4 linked regions of the Drosophila melanogaster genome follow. The gene in region 4 interacts genetically with the main gene of each other region. Each region holds a gene or a part of one and is shown on either strand. Other genes may lie near its edges. The genes, in order: bchs, mei-218, velo and lwr.

Region 1 (4,902 bases), 5.4 Mb from region 4:
AAAAGCCCCGGCAACCTGAAGCATCTTCTTGCTCGATTGGGACTCGCTCCGCCAAAGGATGAATATTCATGTCTTACGGGAATGTGGAGGCCGGAATATCCTTGGCCGCCGCCCGGGGTCTTGCCAATTTCGATACGCAAATGTTTCGCTCATTGTCAACAACAGCGTCGTGATGAAGTGGAGGACTCTGGGGCGAAAAATAAAAGTTATTCGTTCCGACAGAAAGGGGGAAGCCCCGCCTAATGAGTCCCCCATGAATGCTGTGCAAATGATTTTTGGGGTTACACTTTTAAATTTTCCGGAAACGCCTCGAGCAGCATATGCGGTCCTCGGAAAATTCACTTAAAAATCCACTTAAAATTTTGCTGGGTATTGCACTTCACCTTTAAAGGAAGATTAAGCGGATGAAATAGGCTGATGTCACTTTACTCATAAGAGTTTGTATGTAAATAGAATGTTCGCGCCAACTTCACGAGTTTTTTTTTTTAGTGCGCTATCAATCTACCGAATATCATTTTACTGGTCTACCCCTTCTTGGCACCTGAGATATTGTTCCCGTTTTTGTCAGTTGTAGGGGGCCTCTATTTATAACTGAAACGGAAAAATCCATTAGAATATTGCCGCAGACAAAGGACTTTCCCCACAACCCTGCCCCACAAATCGCGGTGGGGGGTTTGTCGGGCGGGAAAGTGCGCAAAGTACCTGTCTGGGTGGGAAGATATAATACCTGGAGAAGTGCCAATCCCAAACGCTTTCCCACATAAACAAGCATTAGGGAACTCCGAGCTTAGCTTATGTGGCTGGCTGGCTAGCTGGAAAACTGAAGAGGACTGTGGGAGCGGGTGGATACGGGCAGTCACGCAAGGGGTCAGTGGGCGTGGCGGGGCCAACGCCCAAAGGTAAACTATTTTTGGGGAGCGAGGCAGTTGGTCATGGGGATAACTACTAACTAAATATTTAGCACGACACGCCTTTATTCTTTTGCACCCCTAATTGATTCAAAAACGAAATTTTATCCGCATTAAAATGGGGAGACACAGCGAATTGGTTTCGGGTACAGGGAAATTAGATCAGAAGGACGTGCGTGGCATTTAATGGCCTTACCAATCAATCAATCCCAATAAACTTACAGCATTCTCTGCCACAAATGAGTCAGCAAATAGCATCATTATCAACGCATGAAGTTCGCCATCGGGTGTTCGTTCAATCAATATGCAAATAAATTTGTTGTCATATCCGACAGCTATCTGTTGATGCTGACAATTATAACAACTGTAAGTACAAACACAAATATTAATAACCCCTAGCCAGAATCAATAAAGAATCTCACACTCATGCGAATATTGGGCGAGAGAGAAATTTGGAAATTAATGGCCAATGGCCTAAGAATACCAATTGTTAGCCGAGATGCGAAAGCACTCATATAATATTATTAACAATAATGAACTTAATTATGAGCACACATGAACATTAAGTAAGTGCTAATTAAGTATCAATTTAGATGCTAAGTTTATGAGATAAATCAGTTTAGTTCTATTAAACTGTTGCCATTAGTTTAGTAAGCGATCTAATATATACAATCTGAAGATAAGCACATCGTTGGCGACATACAAAAGATTTTGTATTAAATAAAAATAATAAAATGAAGTAGATTAATACAAATCGGTCTTGTTTATTTGCTTATCAGTACAGTTGAATTTGAAATGCCAAAGCTAGACCGCCGATCATAATTCAAAATGCAGCACTGGCGTTTGGTCTTAATGAGCACTGGCTGCGGTGGTGGAAAATGTGAACAGCTGATACCACTGGCAGCGCTACGCAACACTCGACAGAATAACGAAAAGAGAGTACAGACGAAAAGCTGGAGAAAATTTGGTTCATATTTTCATACGTGAAACAAGATGTAAAACGAGTGCATTTAGGGCCCAAAATAGTGAAAACTCACACGGGAAACACAATGCTAGCGACGGATAGCAAAAGTAAGTGACGGCTGCACGAAATAAGCCGGAAAAGTGCATGTGAAAATTTTCAAATTCGACCTATCTGCTGGTTTGTTCAAGGGTGGGTGGCGGGCAGAGAGGCCGAGTGAGAGTACGCGAGAGAGGAAGAAAAATCAATAAAATTGTCGTGAGGCGCGATTGACTGGAGCAAAACAAAGTGCGACACGAAAGAGAGCGCTAAGCGGACTACGAAAAAGCAACAACAGAGCGGCCGTTAGCTGAACCAAATGCGTTGGCAGAAAAGAGAGGTCAGATAGTCGGTAGTTTCAAAGGGAGTTGGAGTAAACAAACAAGTGCGCAATAAGTAAACCAAGAACAGCTGTCTCGCACAAAATGTAAATATTTCCCGAATATATGGAATAATAACCACTATCGGTTAATCGCTTGCTCGCTATGTAGGCGTACGAATCGAATCGAGTCGGCGACAGAGGCAACGTTCATTCACTCGCGAAAAGTTAATACTCGCACCGAATACAATGATCGCACTTTTCGTGTGATTCACCTCCAGCGGCCGCTAATTAAGGCGGCGGCAGCAGAAATAGAATAGCTGCGAAAACAAGCCATAACGCCAACTGCACTGTGCGCGGTTGTGATTTGGAAGCCACTCAATTGAAAGTGTCAGTGCTGTGCAAATAAATCGCCAAAATATCTCACCTCCAATGTTCAAAAGATACAATATCTACAATAAGCACAGGTTCTATGGAAACATATGTTTAAATGCGAAGCGACACGTTTTGAACTGAAACCTGCATGAAAGTGGGAAAGTTCATTAAACTACAGCAGTAAAAAGTTTCAAAATACTATGAAATATCTTTTTACACCTTTATCGAATAATATATAATCTTTTTAAACGGCATAACATTGTAAACAAGTGAATCACCATTATTAAAACACATGTAGAAAGTGCCACCCCCTTGCAAAAAAATCAATGACATTCCTCATAGTACAGCCATTAGATTAGTCTTATATTTTGTATTAAGTCAACTTAATTTTCTCTCTTTTAGATTAATCTTACCGCAAATCAACAAACACAAAGATGAATGTAATGCGTAAGCTGCGCGGAGCGGCCAGCGCAGGCAGCGTCAGCGGCAGCAGTAGCGGAACCTCGACGGCGAACAACAGTTCACCAGGGAGCAGCAGAACGGATGCTGGTGCACCGACCGCTGCAAATGGACGGAATGCGGAGGAGGCGCTGATGGACGCCCGCGTCCAAGTGAGCCTCACCACGCTAAAGAAGCTATTCAACGAATACACTCATCCGCGGGAGCCGCTGAGCGAACAGGAGCGCGATGACAAGCTCTACGAGATGCTGCCCCTCTTCTGCAAAGTGAGTGAATCAGTCGGTATGGAGGAATAGGCCACTAACTCCCCATTCTTACAGGTCTTCAGCAGCTGTCCGTCAAACGACATGAGCGAAAAGTTCTGGGACGTGGTCGCCTTCTGCCAGCAAGTGTCCCGTCTCATGGTCAGCGAAATCCGCAAGCGCGCCTCCAACCAGAGCACAGAGGCGGCATCCATTGCCATAGTCAAGTTTCTCGAGGTGGAAACCACCGAGGAAACCAGCAGCGGATGGATGCTTTTGGCTACCCTCAATTTGTTGGCCAATGGAGACGTATCTCTCATACAGGTATGTTTCATTTATAAACTGCTATAGTATCTTATGGTAAAAATACATCGACGTAATCAAAACAAAAAATTTCAATAGCTACAATTTTCGTTAGGGAAAGTCGTCATCAAATTCACGAAGTTTTCTCAGTTCCAGGCTTCAAAGAGAATTCGATGTGTGAGTTCGTAGCTTCTTCATTTGTAATATTTGGGTTGGCTGCATCTGGAACTTGTTGTTCCTTTTCTCCCGCATCGCTTGGCTTATGGACCAATTCAGCATTGCTTAAAGTTCTGAGCCGAGAATAGCTAGAGCCCTGTTCTACCAGCAAAATCTCCGATTTCTCCCTTTTCTCAGTGTCCGCCCACATGGAAGATCGCCGGGCTAGCTTCCGATCCATTTGAATGGGTTTCATTGTGGCCTCGCTGTTCTCACTTGACCGAGTTGAAACAAGGCTAACAGTGCTCCTGTCCTCGATTTTGGCCCACAAGCTCGAGGAATCGCTGGAGCCGCGCCAGGCTGAAGCAGACCTGCGCATCTTATTGGCCTGCTCTTCCATGTACACACTGTACTCCGTGTCCACCGGTGTGATATCCGATTCACTGGTGGTTATTGTTGGCGTTGATAGAAAACTCTCGTCACTCTCGATCTGATGCAGCGAAAAGAACTTTTTACGCGCATCCCCAATGAACTGCCACATGCGGACTATAAAGTGCGGCTGCTCCACCTCCGCGTTCGGCCGGAAGTACAGGATCTGAGAATTGGCCAACTTATAGTAGCACCTGCAGCATTTGCATAGAAAGTCGTCCACTGGCTTGGAAAGCACAAATAGCCCGGTTGAACCAGACTCTGTTCCCTCAAAGTACTTACGGCCAGTCGCCTGACGTTTCCAGTCGCCGGGTTCCATGCGCATCAGCAGGTCGAACACGTGGAACATGTGCATCAGGTACATGGTGCCAGTAACCAGCGCAGCGATGCTCTGCTGCTTGCAGTGCGCAAAGTGCGGATGTTCCAGATACTCGATGGTAGAATTGATGAAGGCCAGGTGAGGGTCCAGCATGGCGGTGCGCATTATCAGCACGCCGCAGAAATAGTGCGACAGCACGGCACTCAGTGTGAGCAGGAGCTGGGAGGAGAGCACCGTACTCCTAGCCAATAGCAGTCGGAACGCGCCTAGAGCGGCGAGCGCCGTAAAGGACGAAAATGTGGCACAATATAGGATCACATGAGGAGTACGCTCTGGCCAGTAGGATGAGCCGCGTATGTGGAAAAACATACAAACACTGCCCAGCAACACCT
Region 2 (7,711 bases), on a different chromosome or scaffold from region 4:
TGCTGTAAATTTATCTGTATAAAACTACAAAAGGTATTCAAAATTGGTCCAGTGTGCGATGGTTATAAATCTACGAGTAATGCCAAATCAATGCCAAGTTGGTCTATAGGGATCTATGCCAGGCGTTTAGGGCATGTCCCAGCTATCTGTGCGCCGCCTCTTATCCGCGTGCATCCCCAGCTCCTCGTCCTCGTAGCTATTCAGATACTGAAGTAACCAGCGTGTAAACTTGTTCATGTACGGATCGATGCAGGAGATCACATTGAAATTGAAGACCGCCGGCGGTGCCTGGTTTTCTTTGGCCCCGAAAATGCCCTGCACGAAATGCTCGCAGTGAAAGATGGCCACACAAACGTCCGATTCAAGGACCTCCAGCCGCAGCGCCAGCTTGGCAAAGCACTCAGCTAATTGCTTCAGCACTATATAGGTCTTGCTAGAGAAGACATCTGGAAATGAGCGGGATGGAAAACGTTAGTTGCCATCGATTAGAGGAGCACAAAATAGTAACAAAAGTTGTAAATAGTATTTCAAGTTTCGAAAATAATTAACAATTTGACTCTGTTAATTGTTCTCGAAACATGCTAAATGCGAAACATTACTAAAGTCAGTTTGGATGAGATCTGTTTGAATTGTGATTGTTGTTGTGTTTGTTGATCTGTGTTTCATAAAGCCGTACTGACACGACCCTTCGCTTTGAAGCTAGGAAGACGATTTGCTGCTTAATGGAATTAGACTTACTCGGTCGCTCTTTCCTGGAGATCACATAATACTTTTGCAGCATATGCTGAGCGCCATCGGTTAAGGTGGTCTTGCGCTGATGCAACAGATGTATAAGCATGCGCATATCGTCCTCGGGAATGCTCAAGCCATCGTTGACTACAATTTGACCCTCAGCGTTGTGCTTCTGAATTATAGAGTTCCAGAGACTATTGCTGGCCTGAGCACCCATATAAATTGGCAGCCCGAAGATTCTGCAAATTAGGTTAACTTAATATACAAGCGTAATTTCTAGTTTTGTCCACCTTACGGGCACAGTTTGGCGAGGGCCAGTGTTTGATTGGTGGAGTTGTTCGGCTGCCAGTAAGTCCAAACGGCTGCCTTTAAGGGCTGATCGATGTGCAACTGCGGAACTGGGACCGCTCCATTTTCGATGCACTTTTCCAGCTGGCATCCCTGATCCTTGGACAGACGATTCCAATCGCCGGCGTAGTAAACTCCCTGTTGTGCCAATAGTAAAGGACTGGCCACTATCCAATTAAAGCGCGTGGGCAGGGCATTGAAAGTGGGCTGCAGTCCGTATTCGTGGGGTCCCAGGAAACGTGGTGCCAGTTGGCCCACTTTGTTAAGTAGACGGTTGGCCATCAGGCTGTCGGTGGCGATTATGCATAGCGAAATTGGAGCCCGCACCTCATCAGATTCGATTGAAACGATACTGGCCAGCAGTATCATCTTCAGGTACACAAAGCAATCCATAGGCACACAGTCCTGACTGATCTGAGCACTTAGGGCGTAGACAAAGGAGTAGTCAGAATACTGCGATGAGATCAAGTGATGTAGTTTCTTGATGCTGGACGGCACGCAGTTTAGATCCGGCTTGGGATATTCTTGGCCGTGCTGTGATGGGGCTCGAAATATCATATGACGCTCGAGTGGTGGTCCTGCGTCCTTAGCGAGGTACGCGTTTTCCTCGCCGTGTTCGTCGGCGACGACCTGGTTCTCCGACTGGAAACTCGGGGGCTCTATCTCCGACTCCCACTGCCATTCCTGGTCCTGTTGCTCCGGCTGGGTTTCCTCCTGATCCATATCCAACAGAGGCCTGCTGTACATTAGGTCCTCGTCCTGGTGGATGCATGATTCCCACAAGTGTTGCTGGTGCTGGTTCTCCACCGGCGGCGAACTGAGAGTATGCGATAACTGGGTGGGCCCGGAAATGCTGGATGGGAGGCGGCTGGAGCTCATATGCTGGATGGGGGGTGGCGAACTGGTAAATATATCCATATTGGTGGTGCCAACCCCTGTACACGGGAGACTGGCTAGCCGAAAAACCGACTGGCTGACACTGTTGCTTTGGATTTCAACCGGAATTTGTGGTGACGAGTTGCTCCATATAATTCCCGACTGCTGATCAAAATAGAACACGGGCGGCAGATTGCCGGTGGCACTCACCTCGATCATTGCCGGTGGTACAATGGCTTCGATCGGTGTGTCGACTGTCTGTCGTGGTGGACATGGCTGATCATCTATCTCAGAGGTGTATTCGAGTATTGGTTCTGGGGCGCTGTCAGGATTTGGTAGTTGCTCGCGTGGGTTATTTTTTTTCGCGTGCAAAGAGCGCGTAAAACGCTGTCGACAGCGTCTTTGCTGTAATTGTCCAATATAGAAAGGGTTATCTAATGAGGATTAAACTTACGGTGCAGTAACTTACGCTCAATCTAGACACTTTGTGGGTTAGATGGGATTCTCCGGTAGGGTGGAACTCCTTAGCATTTGAGTTCAAAACGCTGCCCATAGCCAATTTTCGCATGTGGCTGCTCGCATGGATTTCTGGTGAGCTTTTCACCTGGCGCGGTTTCTCCTGTTGCTGGTACGGCACCACCTCTTTTTCCGGCGTTTTCCCTGAAGATCCCTCAAGCAAGGACTCTGTAAACTCTCGACTTACCGCCTGCAGACTGCGCACCATCCGGGGGTTGTGATTGCGACGTGGGAATCTCCTCTGCCTTCTCTCACTTTGATTAGGCGTCGGCGGCATAACATCCTCGTCCTCATTGTGGACAACACTGGGACCCGAAGATTGAGTGGTCTGCTGTCTGGGCGCAATGCGGATTGGTGCCGAAGAATTGTTTGTAACTGAAGCTCTCTTCGCAGGGCTCCTTGAGTGCAAGTAAATGAGCTCGGTAGGTCTCTCTGATTGCGACTGAGTATGATTAACAGGGTTCATCTGCTGCTGAACAGAAGTTTTCGGACAATTCTGAAGAATCTTTGGCTTCTGCTGCTGTTGTTGTTTCCAAGAGTGCTGAATGCCAGGAGACTTCTGATTGTTTTGGCTCCTTTCATTATTGGCAGGACTCTTCTGTTGCTGCTGTTGGAATTTGCTGGGAGAATTTTCAGAACTCTTCTGCTGTAAAGAACTGGCAGAACTCTTCTGATGATGCGAGGAATTGACCCAACTCCTTTGCTTCTGTATGAAATTGACCGAACTCCTCTGCTGCTGTGAAGAATTGACCCAACTCTTCCGCTTCTGTAAGGAATGGACCGAACTATTCTGCTGCTGTAAGGAACTGGCAGAACTGTTTTGCTGCTGTAAAGAATTGGCGGAAGCCATCTGCTGCATGTTAGTAAAACCGACAGAACTCTTCTGCTGCTCCTTTGGAGAGTTAGGTGTTTTCTGCTGATGCTCGACAGAATTAGCCGGACTTGTCTCCTCCTGTTGGGATTTAGCTGGAGTATTCTGCTCCTGTTGGATATTCTTCTCACCCGGAGAGGACTGGGCAGAACTTTTTGGCGTCAGCGGCTGTACTGAATCTTTACTCAGCAGTGTTATATTGGTCGAAGAAGAGCAACGTGCCTGGTCGCTTAAAGACTTTTGGCTGTCGCTAGGACGTACTGACGACAGCCAAGTGGTCACCGATTGATGATTGCTGTTGCTCGATTTCGGAAGCATGAAATCCGGCAAAAAGTTACCCAGCACAGGCGGATCTTTTACGCGACTAAAACGACTGGCAAGGCACGAAACAGTGCCGCCGTCATCTTGATTACGCACCCGCGGCGTTCGTTGTTTGAATCTCTTCGGGCGCTGGCCCAAATCAGGATACTCTTCGGCACTCACAACAAAGCTACGATCAGGCTTAGTGACTTCTTTAGATAAGCGCCAGACGTTAACATTTGGTTTGTAGACACCGGCCTTCGGTGTGGGAGTCATAATAGGCGTCACATCGCTTTCGACCAGGCCATTCGATGGTATGGTGCTGGGCATTGGGGGATACATTAATATATTTGCTTATTATAATGGTGTAAATAGAATATTCTACCCTATGGAGCTTGTGTTGGCATTTTGAGTAACTTCACGAACTTCACCATCGTCATCGTTGCGCAAGAAAACATTAAGCTGGAGGGGAATGTGCCTACGAGGGTCCTTTTTCTCTAGTTTATTCGTAGATGACATGCTTCCAGTTGATATGTGCTGGCTGAGCTCGCAAAGTATCCAGTGATTAGGTAGCTAGCACCCAACTTTAATTCGCAGTCGTGGGCGTGGGCTAAGAAATGTTGTTAATATTATGATTATTCATGATAGTGACATCCAAATGAGTATGTCCTAGTTTACCAGGCATATTTAATTTCACGTGTTTATGATGTCCTGAATACCAGATTCACTTACCTCTAAGGCGAACTAATTTTGGGCGATGAAGGCAATTGGTGACACGAGGTGTCTGAACTGCCGAAATAGGCAAGACAGCCAAGATACGATAGGTTTCCGTGACGCGCAGCTTTTGGTATTCACTCATGGGCCGCGAGCAGCTCGAACAAAAGGGTGCTGAAAGATATCAAGAAGATGGATTAGCAATGGAGCTGGCACAGGATCTCGTGAACAAGGAATGCTGGGTTAGATAACATTTTGTTAGACAGGGTTCCGAGGGTTGTGAGTATGGCTAGAGGTTAGAGGTTGTTAGTTAGAGGTTGTTGGCTGTGCCACAATTTGGATAAAGTGCACGTTGTTTCTTTATGTTCCTAGCCTATGGGACCTACCATCTGTTGAGCTGGTCTGTATGGCATTTCGCATACAGCCACTGCCGCAGTACCAGATCGATTGTAGGCTACAATGGAATATCAGGATATAAATTACACATATTATCAAAGATTGGTACACCCTAGCAGAGCAGCTGTGTGTTTTATAATTAATATGTTTAGAAACAGATATTGCCTAAAGCATAAGAAAATAATACATGCAATAGACAAATAATAAATACCATTAACCCACTTAAATAAAAAATAACGATAATACGATCCATGCTTTTTTAACTTTAACAACAATGAACATTCATAGAAAGTTAATGGGATATAGATATACTTCTTTTGTAGGTTGGTATTTACACTTAAGAGACTAAGCTTAAAACCCTCTTGAACTAAACCAAAAAGGGTAAACCAGCTTGGCTAGCTTGGTTAGTTAAGAACTATAACTATAATTAATCAGGCATGACAGGATACATAGTACCCAAACATAACCAAATCGAATAAGAAAAATGTGGAAAAAGCACACCAAAGCAAACTAGGGGAACATTGCAATTCTCTGCCAGGACATGTACAAACTGTAAAACTGACACCAGTGTTTCTTGCGGCGTGAAAGCGGCTAGGATGCCCCGGATCTGGGACAAGCCCAGCCGGGTCAACTGGTCCCGCGGCTCGAACTGCAGGCCCGGCGTAAAGGGCAGTCCCACCAGGCGCCAGTGGGCGTGCAGCTGGTTGATATCGATGGGCTTCAGGCCAGCGTCCTTGAGATGTGAGCGGATCAAGCCATAAACCGAGTAGCGGACCGCTTCTTGAAACTGCAGCGGTTCCTCGACGATGAGCTGCAGTAGTTGCGGTGAGATATCGAGTAGTTGCCGGTATTCGAAGTCCAGGCGCAGCTGGATGGGGGCCAGCAGGTCCTCTGGCCGCCGGGAGCTCATATAGTTCGCCACAAAGCGGCCAGAGGAGACCTGGACCAGCTTGAGCAGCTGCGTCTGCCGGCAAAAGTGCTCAACCAACTTCTGATCGTGGAATCTGTATTGTATATTAGCATTTCGTGTTTTATGTCTTTAGGAGCCTGCGAAAATAAATGCGCCCTGTTTTTTAACCAGGATTACCGTGCACTTACTGGCTTTTTAATGGAGTCTCGTTTACAACTGATGATCCTTCGCTTGCATCCACTGTGAACATTATACACTAATCCAGAAATGTGAACTTATTTCAATCCGACCTACTACCAAAGAATTTTAAAATGAAGTGTTTGACTAAGGAAAAATTGGAATTAAAACCGATTGCGATATGAAGTGTACCTATCGAGCCCTGATTTAAATCGATACTGAAGTTTTTCGATCGGGTAATGTGTGACTTAGATTTTAAATGTCGTTAAATGACTAATGACTAGCCTCCTACAATAAATGGATCTTTTGTTGCTTTGGCATAGAGTTCTTCAAAAGCGAAGAATAGAATATATAAATGTAGAATTTAAGGGCTTAAAACAATCGGAGTATTGTAAACTGTTGCCAGCTTTCCAATACATTTATTTTAGAAAAGTGATGCCAGATCGATGGAGTATCGCAACTATCTATAGATTTTATACACTAAAAAAACCGTATTTTAGTGATCTATCGTGAGTAGTTAGAGAAATATCTATGAAAGAAATTGTATCAATATCGATAAAAAAAACTTTTTAAAGTTTCAATTTGTTTAAACCATGTAATTTACTTTAATTTTTTAGCTAAATTTCATTTCAATATTTTTAGCTATTCCAAGCAAGACAATTTCACGTTTTACTCACGCTTAACCTCACATATTTCTGACACCAGCAGCCCGATAGAAAATAGCTAAAATATCCGTTCTTCTCTGACAACCAAGTTTATTATAAACTAAAAACTATAAAAAAAGAATGGTCTGAAGTGAATTTTTCATCTTGTTGTTTATTTTAGTTTTAGTGTATCATTTCTCAGTGTACACACGTTATTTGTATAAAAAAAAACAGACAGAAGTTTGTTTTTGCTGGTGATGATGTCTCCTTAACGGTTGGACTTGGCGACACGCTCCAACTCATCCTTCTTCTTGATGGCGTACGAGTTGGAAGATCCCTGGAAATACATTTAAACACAAGTTATTAGTATTGGCTATCAATGTTTTTCTAGATCTTTTATATGTTAATTGCGCTGTTATGTTACTGTTACTGCATTGTATGGATTCATCGCTTCTAAATAAATAAATATAAAAAAACAAGTCCCTAACTTATTTAAAGCTAGTGTTCCTTTACGTTTCTCATGTGCATTGAACTAAGCAATATTACAAGCACAAGGATAATAAAGGATGGAAATTAATCTGGTCCAAAAGCGAGACTACATAATTAAACCACCATGCAGAATTAGATTGGACCTATTATTAAGCTCTATATACCAACTCTTAAATAGTTTGCTAATGTTCTTTTACGTTTCTCGTGTGCATTAGACTGATATTGTCACAAGCACAAGGATAATAAAGGATGGTGATTGTTCTGGTCCAAAAGCGAGACTACATAATTAAACCACTATGCAGAATTAGATTGGACCCCCGCTATCCTAATCGAATCAGTTCCTAAATGCTAATTCATAAAAGTGTTCTTTTACGTTTCTCGTGTGCATAGGACAGTTAAGTGGTCACTAGCACAAGGATAATAAGAGATTTGGAGTTTGATCTGGTCCAAAAGCGAGACTACATAAATAAACCATGATGCAGAATTAGATTGGACTAGTTGAAATGACTAGCTGTGTCACTAGAAGGAAGAAAAGAGCTATTTCGAAGCTCAATTCTTGGGTTAATCCGAGTGCCGAACGTGGTTCTCGATCTGGTCTACAAGCGAGGCCAGGCATTTTGGTAGTACAATGCCAAGCATTAGAGTAGACCACCCCATTCCCACTTTGATCTCGCCACAAGCCCAATTTACCCACCTTAGCAGCGTTGATCAGCTCATCAGCCAGGCACTCGGCGATGG
Region 3 (4,769 bases), on a different chromosome or scaffold from region 4:
CACAACCCCGATCCAAGCTGCCACCGGGTAATCCCACGCTACCAAGTGCTCCTCCGGCATTGGACTTCCCCTCGCTGCCCAACGTTCCCAACGATCTGCCAGATATTCCGGGCGCAGGTGCCGAGAAGAAGAACGACGAGGATGAGATTGATTTCGATGACCTGTCACGTCGCTTCGAGAACCTTAAGAAGCGAAAGTAAAGCTGGCCAGCAGATCACCTTTTAAGTCTACAGTATATTTGTTATAATCTCTGTCCTGTTCTACATTAATAATCACGTATATGTGTAAGGAACTATTGATCATTTTGTTTTTTCGATTAAGTAGTTAATCAGACTTCAAAAATGTATAATCTGAATTGAAAGATGGTTGACCTATTGCTTTTCATATTCGCAATCTTGATTCATCTAAAAACAGCCTAAAGATTAAAATACTAACAGATTAAATTCTGTGTACTTATCAGCTTTATGTTTCACATAAATATCAACAAGATTACAAAGAAAAACAAAAAATTTTAAAGGGATTGTATTGCCTAGAAGAGTTCCTCGCTCTCCACCACTTCCTTCAGCTCGAGCAGCTCCAGCAGTCCCTTACCCTTCGTTTCGTTCCTTACCAGCTCATCAATGACACGATATTGGCCAGGATCTATGAGCAAGGTTAAGTGCAAGGTGGCCTCGTCCCATTCCTCGTGCTCCACTGCGTTGGCCAACTTGACCACCGATTCCTTGAGCTTGCCACCGCCCTCCTTTCCAGCAAAGCTAACGCGCAGCTTCATGCGCGACCTCTCGATGGGCATATGGTCCTTGAGAATCTTGATGGCCTCCAGTGTGTTCTGCTTGGTGTTCCTGTTCATCTTAACGGAGAAGTGGGCATCCTTCAGGGATTTCTCGATGATGGAGGCGGGATATGGACGACGCGTCTCTGGATTTACACACAACGCAGCCACGGAATTAACTATACTATTTAGTTGCGTGTCCAGACAACTTTGGCGCTCCTTTTCCGACACCTGCAGTTCTCCTTTGCTGAGGATCTCCTTGCAAATCTCAGTCTCGTCTGTTTTATTGAAGGCCTTTTGCAGCTCGTCCTTTTTGGCCGCCTGTCCTTTGGAGACATTGGTGAACACGGTATGGGTTTGCAGGACCTCATCGATGTCCTTTTCGCTAAGCATATACAATAAAGTAATTAGATTTAGGTAAAGCCTATTTCACAATCTGCACGTGTTGCATTTAGCGGCTGTTACCTGTTGCTCCTCCACGAAAGAACCTTATTTTTATAGCAGGCGATCTCAAATCGCTTGCCACCTTTTTTTAGCCTCACAATGGCGACATTTGTGAGGCGTATTTGATTTGTGGGCGTGAATATTTTGGACATTGTTGTTAAAATACAAGCTGCGGAATTAGCGATGTGCAAGTAAACCAAAACACTTTCGATCGAACCAAACGATGAATGGCAAAAAATCAAACATTTATATATCCCGTAGTTGTGAAATCATTGAAATTTCCTTTGATGTACAGTTTGATAAAAAATTTTGTTCACAATATACAAAACTGCATAACAGCTTTCTATTAAAAACATACTTATAATATATATATTTAGATGGATTTTATTTATGTATATTTTTTTTGTTGAAATTTTTTTCACCGCTACCCACAATTTTCCGAGCTATCGAGTTTTTCTACTTATCGACGTTTTACCATCACAACGACGTTGTTGTTGTTCCTTCGCCACTCTTCTTCTTCTTCTTCTTCCTCACCCAATTCGCCAGAGCGCGCAGCAAACAACAAAACACATAGTGCTCAAAACCGCGATATCAACGGTCGCTAAAAATCGTTATCAATCGCCTTTCGCTAAATAACAGCATAATGTGCAACAAAATCATGGAAATCACCGAAACAGCGCGTTCAGTGCGAAAAACTAAAGATTTTAAGACAACTCCAGTGGCTCGACCGTTTAGTGGTCCCTTTAAACTGGCTACATGCCAAACAGAGGGACCTCTAAACATTAGGCGAAGAGGACGGCACAAGGCAGACATCGATAAATCAGCGGCCCAAAGCAACGCTGCAAAATGTTTATGAACAGCTGATGGGCCCGCCAGGGGGCGCTCGCGTTTCGTCATTGCCAGATAAAATAAATATCAAATGCTGCCTTTAATGGTGAACGCCATTTTTATTGCAAGAAAGAAAGCCACGGGTTTCAAGCAAAAACGCGAATAATTAACGTGTGTTTATTGTAAAAAGACAGCGCGATTATGATCTAATCAAAGAACAACTGGATCGAGCCGAGGGCACAGCGATTGGCTCCAAAAAGTTCCCATTCTCGTAAGATTAACGGAGGTGTGTAGGTTGGGAATGCCAACAAAAAAAAAATTATGCTCAAAAAGTGACCTGTAATTGTATAATAAATGTGCCTTAAAAAAGTTAAATATATTGCAAAATTACATAGGAATTAATTTATACAATTGGTCAACCGCATATTGTACAAGTTTCTGCTCGGAAAATGGTAGAAATCACATTTTTCTACTGCGATTTTGTGTGTGTGTTGTTCTTGAGGGCTCTGTAAAAGTCTCAAAAATGCAACGCCTGCAAAAAAGAGCAAAAATTCTCACAAAAGTGACAAAACTTGTTTGCATTCTTATTTAATTTTATACTTTAACACTTATATTCCTTACCGAGGTTATATTAAAATAAATGTGAAGGAATTAACGATGTCCTCATACTGAGACGCAAAAATATAACCTTAAAGAGTACACAAAATGTTTAAGTATCTTAATTATGCTACATACAGTGCAAAGTTTAACCAGTTAACGTTTTCTTTATCTAGGTGCATTGTTGTTGTAATGTAATTTAATTAAAATATATAATACGACTTATAAGAAATTGCATATAATTAAAAAAATATTCCAAAAAGAAAACAAAAAAATGTAATTGAAGAAAAGATCATATTAATTAAAATTTAACAGTACTTTTTGGGCCTAGGGAATTAGTGAAAAAATAGTATATATCTAAAATTCTAACTGATTTTCTACCCCTTCCAGCTGCCTTGAAATGGAGCAGTATATTGTGCCCCTGGAGGAGCCAGTCTACTCTGATTTGCAAGTAGTGCAAGTGCCCCAAGATGAGGTTGGGGTGAGTAGTATCCGAAGCCCTCGGTGAATAGCAAGCTAATTTCTTGTTTCTTTCAGTCCCTGGTCCTACAGGATGACCAGCAGCTGGTGTTCAACGACCAGCAGCAAGTTGTCTACCAGACGACGGCCCCAGCGCAATATCAACAGCCCCAGCAGTCTGCGGCACCCACATACCACATAATCGGTGGCGATGATCTTGCACATCAGCAGCAACAGCACCAACAGCAGCAGCAGCAACAACAACAGCAGCAGCAGCAACAACAACAACCGCAGCAGCAGCACCAACAACAGCAACAACAAGTTGTAATGCATCATCAGCAGCATCAGGTGCAGCAAGTGCAGCAGGTTCACTATCAGCAGCAGCAACAGGAGCCCCAGCAGCAGCAGCAACAACTGCACATGGAGCAACAGCAGCAGCAGCAGCAGCAATATGTGCAGCATCAGCCGCAGCAACCCGCCATCCAGCATACACAGCAGATTTACTACACTTCAGAGCAAGTCCTGCAACCAAATGCCATTGTGCAGCATATGCAGCAGCAGAAGAAGCAGCAGCAAGTGCTGCAGCAACAGCAGCAGCAGCAGCAACAGTATCAACAACACGCACCCGCCTACCAAGTGCAATCGTCTCCCCAAGGGCAAGCCCAATTACTTCAGAGTTCCCAGCAGCAGCATCAGCAAGCGCAGCAGGCACAAACGTTGCAACTGCAGACGTCGCCACCCCAACAGCAACCGCAGCAGCACCAGCAGATCGTCTACCGCATGACCACCACACAGCAGCAACAAAGGCCCTTAGGGGTAAGTTAGGTTCCAAATAGCCCTGTATTTATCTTTCACTTGAAACATATTGATATCGATTTTCCAAATCCTAGATGCTCAACAATACGCACGTGATTGTCCAGCAGCAACCGGTATTGATCCAGGGCCCACAGCATCAGGAGCTGATTATGCGACAGGCCATACATCCGTACAACAATCGTGTAGTTTATGCCACTTCACCGCAACAGCAGCAGCAGCAACAACACGTCATCCAGCAGCACGTACAGCAGCAGCAAGTGCAGCAGCATCAGCAAGTCCAGCAACAACAGCAGATGCAACTGCAGCCCACGACTCAAACAGCCCATTTAGTTCAGGCTCGTGTGGTGCCACAGCAGACCCAAAATGTTGTCTACCAGCAGTTGCAGGTGCAAAAGGTGCAGCCGCAGCAACAGCAGCAGGCTCCACAGCAGCAGCAACCGCAATTGGTGGCTCAGCAGCAGCCGCAGCTAGTGGCCACCTCTGCTGCCGGTGGCACTCAACTAGTACGCGCCTCGTTTAGGAAATCGCCCCGAGGTGGAGCTGTGCTGGCCAGGCCGGGCACACTAATTACCACCAGGCCTACACTTACGCCCACAACAATTGTGCGGCAAGTTCGTCCGCGAGGAGGTGCAGTGCCCGGCGGACTGGTTAGGAATATGCGACCTGCGGGCGTACGACCCACTCGAGCGCAGTTGGTGGTGCAGACTAGCGCCAGCGGCGAGGGACAGACCATGCTAGTGACTCAGGGCCAAATGAAGCACATTACCATCAGCACGAATCTCGGCCAGCCGCAACAACAACAGCAGCAGCAGATGCAGCAACAGCCGCGCCACATCTACCGCACACACATGGT
Region 4 (4,266 bases):
TCAGCCCGGAAGCTGCATTAACATGTTTCCCGTAATTCCCACTCCCTGCAGTCAACGGGCGAGAAGGCGGACACGATGACCAAGAAAGACGCCATGTACTTCCCGCTGATCGCGTCGGCAGCCCTCTTCGGGCTGTACCTGTTCTTCAAGATCTTCCAGAAGGTGCACATCAACTACCTGCTCACCGGCTACTTCTTCGTGCTGGGAGTTATTGCTCTGGCGCACCTGCTCAGTCCGGTGATCAACTCGCTGATGCCCGCCGCCGTGCCGAAGGTGCCCTTCCACATCCTGTTCACTAAGGGGGAGGGCAAGCACAAGGAAGACATCGTTAACTACAAGTTCTCCACGCACGACATTGTCTGCCTGGTGATCTCCTCGGCGATCGGAGTGTGGTACCTGCTCAAGAAGCACTGGATCGCCAACAATCTGTTCGGTCTGGCCTTCGCCATCAACGGCGTGGAGATGCTGCACCTGAACAACTTCGTCACGGGCGTCATCTTGCTGAGCGGCCTGTTCTTCTACGACATCTTCTGGGTATTCGGCACCAACGTGATGGTCACCGTGGCCAAGAGCTTCGAGGCGCCCATCAAGCTAGTGTTCCCCCAGGACCTGATCGAGAACGGCCTGAACGCCTCGAACTTCGCAATGCTGGGACTAGGCGACATCGTTATTCCGGGCATCTTCATCGCTCTGCTGCTGCGCTTCGACGACAGCAAGAAGCGCAAGACGCGCATCTACTTCTACTCCACGCTGATTGCCTACTTCCTTGGCCTGCTGGCCACCATCTTCGTGATGCATGTGTTCAAGCATGCGCAGCCGGCTCTGCTCTACCTGGTGCCAGCCTGCATGGGCACGCCCCTCCTGGTGGCCCTCATCCGCGGCGAGCTGAAGGTGCTCTTTGCGTAAGTGTGGACTGCGCTGGGCGCTCGACTTGAAACTAAACTAACTCATTCTCGCCCCCACTGCAGCTATGAAGATCATCCCGAGGAGAAGCCCGAAAAGAAGGAGAAGAAGGAGAAGGACGAGGGCGTCAGCTCGTCCGGCAGCAAAAAGAAGGAGTCGAAAAAGGGCAAGTAGAGCCGGGAGGACGCAACATCCGAACAACATCCCCACTCGTTCCATCGTAAATGTCTTCTGCAGCTAGCCAAGCTCCCTTTCGTTTCGATATGGCTTCTCCATCTACCGCAGTCCATAGCTCATATGGACTAACACCGCTACAAAAGACGATTCACTTACTGAGTTAGTTATGTACGTTCCTTGGCCAGGCACAACAATCTTATTTAGTTCGGTTAGGTTACAATTGTAGAAAATGTTCCCTCGACTTTTTTACCGCAATCAATTTAAATATGTATTTCAAATATTTCTGTGGCTCCGCACAGGAGGCTTATATGTTTAAGAACAGTTTAGATACAAATATATTCCAATTTTTGTAAACAGTGCAATTTTGACTACGAATTCTACATTGCATTTCTTAAAACTAATGCAGTAATTTGTGTAAACAGTAATGCGAATAAATTTTAATTCTAACGTTTAATTAAACTAGTTTTGTATTGAGTAGAGGGTTTTTAGGAATGTAACGGCTTAAGAGAAAAACCTAATACATTTTAAGTTGAGCTTACCAAAATCCAAAGAATTTTTAAATTTAAAACATAATACAAAAGTGCTTTGAAAAAGTCAGTATTTTAATACCACTGTTTATCCACGGCCACACTAAATATCGATAACCGCATAGTGAGACCCTTTGTGTAGAAAAACTTATACCTTTAGCGAGCACAAGCGTTCATTCCTGAAAAATTGCGGTAAAAATTGCGAAAAGCGCGAGTTCCCCCCGCGATTGCAAATAATTAATTTGCTTGGAACCACTGGAGACGCAAGGACGAACAGAGAGGTAGGTGCTCTTGCACTTAGCGCGCCAAAAGGCGACAAAGCCCCTCGTAGGCCACTTACCCACACACACACATTCGCAGACAGACGCGCGTGCAAAAAAGGCCAAGTGGGACTGCTAGCGGAAATCCAGGACTCGAGGACACGTTCGGGCGGCAGTAGAGAAGCGAGCAAGCAGCGACGACCATGTCCGGCATTGCTATTACACGATTGGGGGAGGAGCGCAAGGCCTGGCGCAAGGATCACCCATTCGGGTTCGTCGCACGACCCGCCAAGAACCCTGACGGCACCCTCAACCTGATGATCTGGGAGTGCGCCATTCCCGGCAAGAAGTCCACCCCCTGGGAGGGCGGGCTCTACAAGCTGCGCATGATCTTCAAGGACGACTACCCCACCTCGCCGCCCAAGTGCAAGTTCGAACCGCCGCTGTTCCACCCGAACGTCTATCCCTCGGGCACTGTTTGCCTGTCGCTGCTGGACGAGGAGAAGGACTGGCGCCCCGCCATCACCATCAAGCAAATCCTGCTGGGCATCCAGGACCTGCTCAACGAGCCGAACATCAAGGACCCAGCCCAGGCGGAGGCCTACACCATCTACTGCCAGAACCGACTGGAGTACGAGAAGCGCGTGCGTGCCCAGGCCCGCGCCATGGCGGCCACTGAGTAGTCGGGCTCCTGCCAACCACCTTTACCACATAGACATTAACAAATACACACATCTAGCCGGTAAGCGTTTGTTTGGAATGCTCTCCACGTCTACTTACTTTTAAAGAATCGACTAATTTTGGATAGCCCCCGCGGCCCGAAGCATCTAATTTTTTAATGTTCTGCACTTGCTTAATTACCAGCATGTACCATCTGAATAAATACAAATAAGTCCTGTAATTTTTCGATGAGGCCCAAAGTGGCCACGTGGCACCCAGAATTCGACGCTCTTTTCAGCTTCCATTCTGGGTGCAGGTGCCGATTATTCTACGGGCTATTTTGTATCGCGAGTACTACGTACAAACCTATGTAATTTCAATAAAAATTTATTAGTTGTAAAAGCTTATGCATTTTAAAGCGGAAAGGATTTCCCAGCAAATGTGCAGTCGAGCACTTGTTGGTCGTCAGTAGCCGTACAGCTGGATTTAGTGCTTGAATTATTCCATATAAAGTTCTTCCTTTTGCTTATTATTTAAGTAACATGACTATTTTTAAATTTAAGCATTTTATTTAAAAACTTGTTCAGTCCATTTTTACCTTTATATTTTATTTGATTTTTAGGCATTTGAAGCTGGTCACATTTCCCAACTATTTCAGCTGATCTGGCAAGTCCGCCAACATTACTATGCATAATTTTTGGCTGATCTGGTAGCATTCGCTGCTGATATAGCAATGCTTCCAGCTAACGGTTCATTTCCAACGAGGCCGCCATATTGAAAAATGCCCAGTTAAAACACCTACTGAGATTTGTGTTCGCCTGGTACTTCAGTCTGGGGAATCCGGCATACTGACAGCTGAATTTATTATTTTTCCCGAGGATGCTCATATATTTCGAACTGAATTACCAGGGAAGCATAAGCGTGGAAAGGTGTTTTTAAAACAACCGCCAGGATTCCCAAAGTCTTGGTTTTGGTGGGCATGCTCTATTCTGAGTACCAGGCGAACAGAACTTCTAGTAGGCTACCAACGATCAGCTGATCTATCTGATGCCTGGTCTAATCTAACGGTTCTTTTATTAGGGATGCCACAATATTTTTCTATTGATCCGGTAATATGTCCGATGTTTGACAATATTTTAATCAATCTGGCAACTATGTCGTCATAACATTTTTCGCTAATCTGGCAGCACTCAAATCGTTCGTTGAATTCAAAAATGTAAAATGTCGTTTAGTTACTAATTTCACTATATTTTATATTGAATAAATTAATTACTTTTATTGTCGCACACACTTAATAAATAATGTACTCATTTAAATTACACAGTTAGAATTGCTCGCTTTATGGGGAACAGCGAGTAATTTACATTATAGTATTGGATCTACATTGGAATACTTCGCCTCCTTCTACTCCGCAGACCATTGCAAACTTGTAGTTTCTCGCCCTCAATTTAATTTCTGTCTAAGTGGTAAGCTTTGGCATGCATTATATGTCATGGTTCCCACTTAATGGGTATGCGCCTAAATTAATGTACCTAAGTATCTATGTGTTATTCCTTTAGGTGTACTGTATATGTACGGGAGTACGATGTATATATCTACTTCTATCGATCGGTAAGTCGAAGGAGTCAGTCCCCAAATGGAGTTGGAAGTGGAGGGCAGCGACGGGAGATTTTCCGGGAATACTGTCGTCGATGGTTGGTTGCGGTTTGGATAGTGTACATTTTTAAAGGAGGCTAGGA

The links.
Region 1: of lwr (region 4) and bchs, changing one enhances a phenotype caused by changing the other (phenotypic enhancement), as found in Drosophila melanogaster (one study listed by BioGRID).
Region 2: of lwr (region 4) and mei-218, changing one suppresses a phenotype caused by changing the other (phenotypic suppression), as found in Drosophila melanogaster (one study listed by BioGRID).
Region 3: of lwr (region 4) and velo, changing one suppresses a phenotype caused by changing the other (phenotypic suppression), as found in Drosophila melanogaster (one study listed by BioGRID).

Annotation. Positions count from the first base shown.
Region 1 is NT_033779.5:5,905,309-5,910,210, forward strand, and holds the start of bchs (blue cheese), read left to right. Parts: upstream 1-1,860; 5' UTR 1,861-1,979; intron 1,980-3,004; 5' UTR 3,005-3,036; coding exon 3,037-3,327; intron 3,328-3,381; coding exon 3,382-3,627; exon of another isoform or gene 3,628-3,739; coding exon of another isoform or gene 3,740-4,902. Other genes in the region: CG14000 (uncharacterized protein), read right to left, coding at 3,740-4,902.
Region 2 is NC_004354.4:17,136,951-17,144,661, forward strand, and holds the start of mei-218 (meiotic 218), read right to left. Parts: upstream 6,041-7,711; 5' UTR 5,914-6,040; coding exon of another isoform or gene 5,852-5,913; 5' UTR 5,758-5,851; coding exon of another isoform or gene 5,317-5,757; 5' UTR 4,812-5,316; coding exon of another isoform or gene 4,744-4,811; intron 4,645-4,743; exon of another isoform or gene 4,532-4,644; coding exon of another isoform or gene 4,376-4,531; intron 4,254-4,375; coding exon of another isoform or gene 4,163-4,253; coding exon 4,029-4,162; intron 3,966-4,028; coding exon 2,426-3,965; intron 2,362-2,425; coding exon 1,028-2,361; intron 972-1,027; coding exon 739-971; intron 447-738; coding exon 127-446; 3' UTR 1-126. Other genes in the region: mei-217 (meiotic 217), read right to left, coding at 4,141-4,253, 4,376-4,531, 4,744-4,811, 5,317-5,757, 5,852-5,913; RpS5a (ribosomal protein S5a), read right to left, coding at 6,753-6,821, 7,668-7,711.
Region 3 is NT_037436.4:6,749,706-6,754,474, reverse strand, and holds the start of velo (veloren), read left to right. Parts: upstream 1-1,722; 5' UTR 1,723-2,330; intron 2,331-3,031; 5' UTR 3,032-3,041; coding exon 3,042-3,122; intron 3,123-3,178; coding exon 3,179-3,916; intron 3,917-3,990; coding exon 3,991-4,769. Other genes in the region: Ist1, read left to right, coding at 1-200; SBDS ribosome maturation factor, read right to left, coding at 530-1,157, 1,238-1,368.
Region 4 is NT_033779.5:540,052-544,317, reverse strand, and holds lwr (lesswright), read left to right. Parts: upstream 1-1,737; 5' UTR 1,738-1,888; intron 1,889-1,938; exon of another isoform or gene 1,939-1,967; 5' UTR 1,968-2,070; coding exon 2,071-2,550; 3' UTR 2,551-2,609; exon of another isoform or gene 2,610-3,081; intron 3,082-3,149; 3' UTR 3,150-3,719; downstream 3,720-4,266. Other genes in the region: Spp (signal peptide peptidase), read left to right, coding at 52-902, 969-1,077.